Ovis aries: one gene and its partner. The protein of the gene in region 2 binds, or shares a complex with, the protein of the main gene of each other region. Links are inferred from orthologs where the notes say so. Each region holds a gene or a part of one and is shown on either strand. Other genes may lie near its edges.

The links. The genes of interacting proteins can lie anywhere in the genome.
Region 1: TERT (region 2) and NOP10 share a complex: the UniProt entries of both Homo sapiens proteins name them as parts of the telomerase holoenzyme complex. The link is inferred for Ovis aries from reciprocal best matches to the Homo sapiens genes TERT and NOP10.

What each region holds. Positions count from the first base shown.
Region 1 is NC_056060.1:26,486,691-26,489,432, reverse strand, and holds NOP10 (H/ACA ribonucleoprotein complex subunit 3), read right to left. Parts: upstream 1,572-2,742; 5' UTR 1,522-1,571; coding exon 1,468-1,521; intron 895-1,467; coding exon 754-894; 3' UTR 511-753; downstream 1-510. UniProt on the Homo sapiens protein: Required for ribosome biogenesis and telomere maintenance. Part of the H/ACA small nucleolar ribonucleoprotein (H/ACA snoRNP) complex, which catalyzes pseudouridylation of rRNA.
Region 2 is NC_056069.1:71,189,396-71,193,420, forward strand, and holds the start of TERT (telomerase reverse transcriptase), read left to right. Parts: upstream 1-1,219; 5' UTR 1,220-1,244; coding exon 1,245-1,463; intron 1,464-1,567; coding exon 1,568-2,894; intron 2,895-4,025. UniProt on the Homo sapiens protein: Telomerase is a ribonucleoprotein enzyme essential for the replication of chromosome termini in most eukaryotes. Active in progenitor and cancer cells. Inactive, or very low activity, in normal somatic cells.

The DNA of each region.
Region 1 (2,742 bases), on a different chromosome or scaffold from region 2:
GTAAAAATGCATAAAGACATTCCTATTCACAATGGTTGGATGAATTAAGATCTATCACTGAACTCTATCAATTTTAGAGGTGGAAGAGTACTTAGGAATGATGAGAAAAACGGAACTAAACAGGTTGACTTTCTCAGAGTTATAGAGGGGTGAATACTCATTTTCTGGCTTCCAATTCAACATCTTCCTCCTCCCATATAGCTGCTATTATTTTTCAAGCAACTCTTCCATTTTGAGTGAAATTTCATTTCAAGGGACAAAAAATTACTTAACTGACAACATGGGTATTTCTTACTTAATGCTAACAGTTGCACAAGTCTTTCTCAAGCTTTCTTCCCCTACCCTAGCACCCTGCTATGACTCACAGCACAGCACGACTGCTACAGCAGTCGCCTAAGTTTCTCTTCCAAGTGGTCTTGTATCCCTGGGGTACTCTTCCCTCTCGTTTCCCTCGTTTTTTTTTTTTTTTTTAAACCACTCCTTTCTTCCCACAACATACAAAATAACAGCTCTTTGAAATCATTTTAATAACCTGGCAGTGATTCAAAGTACGAAAATATTCAGATATCTCCCTTGGACGGGGATGCTACCATGACTGCTTCACAACAAGCATGATCGAAGGCAAAGATGAGACCGGACTCGAGGGGCAAGGGTCGGAGCAAGCTTCCAGGCTCACAGACTGAAGAGCCTGGCTGCAGAAAGTCTCTTGGGTGCTGGCAGGCAGCAGAAGACACATGAAATGTTAAGACATCCTCAGAGGACGGGGCGCGGCTGCTGGGTCATGAGCACCTTGAAGCGTTTCTTGATGGTGATTCGGTGTCGAGAGTATTTGTCGTCTGGGGAGAATCGAGCAGGGTGGGCCGAGCACGTCTGTTGTCCCATAGGATCAAGCTTCTGCTCGAGGAGGAAAGAACATAATCTCAGCACTGGAATGGTGGGAAAACGCAATCCCTGGCCTCAAAAGGGAGATGGAGGCTGGGATGGGGAGTTCAGTTCAGTCGCTCAGTCGTGTCCGACTTTTTGCGACCCCATGAACCGCAGTACGCCAGGCCTCCCTGTCCATCACCAACTGCCGGAGTTTACCCAAACCCATGTCCATGGAGTCGGTGATGAACCATCTCATCCTGTCTTCCCCTTCTCCTCCCGCCCTCAATCTTTCCCAGCATCAGGCTCTTTTCAAATGAGTCAGCTCTTCGCATCAGGTGGCCAACGCATTGGAGTTTGAGCTTCAACATCAGGGGCCGCGCAAAAACGGCAAACATGAAAACAGGAGACGCGACGGTAAGATCTAGAAGCCACGCATTTCTGCTTCCATTAATTAATACCACGCGCGGCTTCTGGAGTTTCTAGTCCCGCCCCCTCCCCCGCCCCCGCCCAAGCAGCTAGGCAACTCACTGTCTTCTCCCGACCGCTCCTTCCAATGACATGCATCGCTAAGCTGACATCCAGCCCGTTTACCCTTCTCACCTTCAGCGTGTAGACTCGCTCTCCTTGCTCGTTGAGGTAATACTGGAGAAACATGATCACACTAAAGCAGGACGTTCCAATTCTGTCCGCAGCTGCCTCTAACTGAAGGCCTCACGTGTTGGTCAATTTCCTTCCTGTACAGCCGGAAGTCTCGCTCTGAAAGCACGCCGGGAATTGTAGTCCAGTTTATCTAGACTTTTCTCCAGCCGGACAGAAGGAGGCGCACTAGCTCAGAACGTGACCAGTTGCAACCCAGTTGCAATCTTGTAGGAGTTGTACGACACGTGCAGTGTGCCCACTGTGGGCCTGGTACTGCTAGGGAGAGAGGGGAGTAGGGATGGATATAGATTAAACATAACTGAATACTATCCTGTTTTTATTTCAAGATGCACACCCATTTCAGAGGCAATGAGTTTCTAGTACCTGCAGAACTAAAGGCTCCAGGATCCAGAGCCTCCTTTACCTTAGGAAAGAAAGAAGATTTTCTTCCTTCCCCTATTTTACATCCGGTTCTCTCGCCCTGTTTCAAACATTGGCGGTAAAAATGCACGATGGGTATTCCATATTCTGCACAGCGAAAAGAGCGTGAAGTTATTTTACGAAACCGGTGAAGCATATTTTAGTGGTCGACCCAAGATTCAAACTCAGGTCTCTGCCACAAATTCAACTCTCTGTAGTGGTGAGTAGCTAATAATAGCGTGATAAGATGCGCCTCTTAGAGGTATGGCGAATTTTTAAAAGAACGTACAAATTCTCTTTATAGGATTCTGGTTTAAAGAAATGAAAATTGGAACCCAGATATCATTAACCGAGGTGACCATTGCGGTATGATTTATAATGGCGAAAAACGTTGGAAGATATATGCAGCTTTATAACCAGAAAAACCTTAAAGTTGGTTTTTTTTTTTTTAAGTATAGTTTGTGTTTGCTTGTAGTTGTATAAAATATCTCAGTGAGGATCCAGAATAAATCTGATTTCCTCCGGCATAAAGAGCTCAACTTGGTTCCAGAAGGAGTAGGACGGGGGGTGGACTTGCTGTGTACTCCATTTTAAATAGTCTGACTTTTGAACAGTCCTGATGTACTACCCATTTTAAAAATTAAAATTATTTAACAAAATTTAAAACCACAAAAATAATTTAACAAACAAACAAAAAAGACTTTTGGGTCTTGGAATTTTACTCTGAGTGGCAGTTTTTGATTAAGTGGGAAGCTTTTCAGCCCAGGGTATGGCTGAGCTGTTTGTGGACTGCAGAGGTGATGGTAATAGTCTATT
Region 2 (4,025 bases):
GCTCACGCGGTGAACTTCCAGGAGAGCCACCCACGGTCCCAAGGGTTACCAGCGGGGCAGACCGGAGCAAGCGGGATGGACACGAAACTCCGGTGACGGAGGGAGAGTGGAGGCCTCTTTAAATGCTATGGCCACGAAGAAAAGTAATTTCTGACCAAGTTTTGTAAAGTTATGAAATATTAACCATCTGTTCAGCCATTCAGTGTTTGGGGAACTCAGGTGCATCATCTGTGCAAGCCTCCCAAGACCCAGAAGCTTCCTCTTTCTACTCGAACATCCTGCAAGCGTCTGGGTTCGGGTGAGACGCCGTTAGGGTCACCGCTCTGAGCCGTGCCCCTGGACCTGGGTCCCTGTGGCTGGGCCAGAAGGTGAGGCCCCTGCTCCTCCTGGGGTTGTGAGCCTCTGGGCAGGCCCTCTGACCCGTCTTCGTGGCGCTTGTAGAGGGCAGGGCGGCTCTGGGTGTAAAGAGAGCCACGAATGTGTGCCAGGAGCTTGCAGGTGGTGACCCAGGGAACCCGCGGCTCCATTTCTCCCCTTCCTTTGCCCTACCCATGGGATTGGTGATTAACAGAGAACTGGTCTGGGGATTTCTGTTTATGGTGAGGACCATGGAAGATCCCGCAAAGAGAAAGTACAGCCTGGAGCCAAGGAACCCAAGCCCGCAAGGCAAGTGCTGCTGCTGCCGGCTGCCCGCTGCAGGCTGACCACTGCCCGCTGCCCGCTGCCCACCGCCCGCCGCCAGCCGCCCGCGCCGGGGAAGGCTCCAGGAACTCCCCTGCGGAATGGTCGAGGATGCATCTGTGCCCCCTCGGTGTCCCCAGGCCCGCCAGGCAGGGGCGGTGGTCCATTCTCTCCTTCGCACAAAGTTACGCATTCGCTGCCATGAGCCCCTTCTGGACCCCAGAGCATCCCTCGCTGCACGGTCACGGCCCGCGTGTTAAAGCAACCAACCCGAAGAACCTGCTCCCCGGGGACGCCGAACACACCAGGCCCCCCCCCCCCCCCCCCGCCCAGGGACCCTGCCTTCTGGTCCCCTCCCTCGGTACCACAGAGCCTTTCCGCTGTGCGACCCCTCGCGCGACCCCTGCGCCCTGGGCGGGCCGGCGGCGCGGGGCTGCGGAGGCCGCCGGGAGCAGCCGCGCGGAGGGGGCCAGGGCCTCGTCGTACCTGGGCCTCCGCGACCCCGCCCCTTCCTCCGCCCGGCCCCGCCCCTTCCTCCGCGCGGACCCCTGCTCCTCCGCGCGATGCCGCGCGCGCCCAGGTGCCGGGCGGTGCGCGCCCTCCTGCGGGCCAGCTACCGGCAGGTGCTGCCCCTGGCCGCCTTCGTACGGCGCCTGCGGCCCCAGGGCCGCCGGCTTGTGCGGCGCGGGGACCCGGCGGCCTTCCGCGCGCTCGTGGCGCAGTGCTTGGTGTGCGTGCCCTGGGACGCGCAGCCGCCCCCTGCCGCCCCGTCCTTCCGCCAGGTGGGCCGACCCCGGGGAGCCTGGGCGGGCCCGGCGGGGTGATGGCGGAGGCGGTGGGAGGGGACGGCCCCGTGGCCCCCGCGACGCACGGACTGTCCCCGCAGGTGTCCTGCCTGAAGGAGCTGGTGGCCAGAGTCGTGCAGAGGCTCTGCGAGCGCGGCGCGAGGAACGTGCTGGCCTTCGGCTTCACGCTGCTGGCCGGGGCCCGCGGCGGGCCGCCCGTGGCCTTCACGACCAGCGTGCGCAGCTACCTGCCCAACACGGTCACCGACACGCTGCGCGGCAGCGGCGCCTGGGGGCTGCTGCTGCGCCGCGTGGGCGACGACGTGCTCACCCACCTGCTCTCGCGCTGCGCGCTCTACCTGCTGGTGCCCCCTACCTGCGCCTACCAGGTGTGTGGGCCGCCGCTCTACGACCTCCGCGCCGCCGCCGCTCCTCGGCCCACGCGGCAAGTGGGCGGGACCCGGGCGGGCTTCGGACTCCCGCGCCCGGCCTCGTCGAACGGCGGCCACGGGGAGGCCGGGGCACCCCTGGAGGCGCGGGCCCAGGGCGCGAGGCGGCGTCGGGGCAGCGCGCGAGGACGACTGCCTCCAGCCAAGAGGCCCAGGCGCGGCCTGGAGCCCGGGCGGGATCTCGAAGGGCAGCTGGCCCGCGGCCCGCCCCGCGTGGTGACACCTACCCGAGACGCTGTGGAAGCCGAGTCTCGGGAGGGCAACGTGCCCGGGCCCTGCCGCCCCTTTCTGGGCGGCGACCGGGGTGTCAGCTCCGCGTCCTGGCGGCTGTCACCCCCAGAGGGCGAGCGGGGTGCCGGAGCGTGCGCTGAGACCAAGCGGTTCCTCTACTGCTCCGGAGGCGGCGAACAGCTGCGCCGCTCCTTCCTGCTCTGCTCCCTGCCTCCGAGCCTGGCCGGGGCGCGGACACTCGTGGAAACCATCTTTCTGGACTCGAAGCCCGGGCAGCCAGGGGCTCCCCGCCGGCCGCGCCGCCTGCCCGCGCGCTACTGGCAGATGCGGCCCCTGTTCCGGAAGCTGCTTGGGAACCACGCGCGGTGCCCCTATGGCGCGCTGCTCAGGGCGCACTGCCCGCTGCCGGCCTCTGCGCCCCCGGCGGGGCCAGGCCATCAGAAGCGCCCTGACGCGGGCGGCTGCCCCTCGGAGAGGCCGGCGGCTGCTCCCGAGGGCGAGGCGAGCTCGGGGCGCCTGGTCCAGCTGCTCCGCCAGCACAGCAGCCCCTGGCAGGTGTACGGCCTCCTGCGGGCCTGTCTTCGCCGCCTGGTGCCCGCCGGCCTCTGGGGCTCCCGGCACAACGAGCGGCGCTTCCTGCGGAACGTGAAGAAGCTCCTCTCCCTGGGGAAGCACGGCAGGCTCTCGCAGCAGGAGCTCACGTGGAAGATGAAGGTGCAGGACTGCGCGTGGCTGCGCGCGAGCCCAGGTGAGGCTTCTGGAGGGGGTGCTTCTCAATAGCTCCCCATCTCCGCTCTCGGCCTCTGACCCTCTCTCCCACCCAACTTGCATGGATACCGGACTTCATGGAGGTTCTGGGCCTGGGAAGGGGCAGTGGAGAGGGGGACTCGTGGAGGGCAGGGCCGCACCTGCAGGTGGGGCACCTGGAGCCCCGGTGGGCGTGGCTTCGGTGGTTCATCTTCTGTTTCTGACCTCAAGGTTAACTGCCTTGAACGATGCCCCCTGATAGGAGTGGGAGCTGGGCTGAGAACCCTCCTGGGTGGGGCTGGGAGGTAAGGCTCGGGGTTCCCCAGCCGGCTCTGGTCAGCCGTCTGCAGACCCAGTGAGTTCTCCTGTGTGTCCACCAGGCCAGGGCCACTGGCGGCCGGCGCGGGAGGACTGTGTCCTTGACCGAGGCCCCGGGCTGGGCGGGCACAGAGGGGAGAGCCGGCTGCCGGCCGGGTCCCAGGACAGCGGGCAGCTGCTGGGGAGCAATGGGACCTTCCGTGAAGCTGGGCCTTTGGGGCCCCTCCCTGTGTGGTGGTCTGGGTGTGATGTGGGGCTCCTCCCATGCAGCCACCGCCCAGCACGTGTGCGGGCAGAGCCAGGAGCAGCAGGACCAGCCCCTTCCGAGCGCTCCCCGGTCTGACCCCTGAAGTCCTGAGAGCTTGACACCCAGAGCTGGAGCCAGGCTTGGCCCCCTCGTTGACTCATGAGTCAGCTTTGCTCTTGAGTGTCTGCTGCTGCTGCTGCTAAGTCACTTCCGACGTGTCCGACTCTGTGCAGCCCCAGAGACGGCAGCCCACCAGGCTCCCGCGTCCCTGGGATTCTCCAGGCAGGAACGCTGGAGTGGGTTGCCACCACGAGTGTCTAGCGACTCTCTTTACCTTAAAGTCTGTCTCCCTGCCTCCCCACTCGCCAGTGTTTACTGCTCATGCTGTTTGCCCTTATCTGGGTTTTACCTTCAGCCTCTCCTGTCCCGTGAGCACGCGTAGTGTAGGTGCCGTATCGCGGCCCTGAGCCAACCTTCTGCGCGTCTGTCCGATCCCGTCTGACCGTCTGTGTGGCTCCCCTGGCCTTACACTTCTCTGTGCTGACCCGGTCTGGGCGCGTCTTTCTC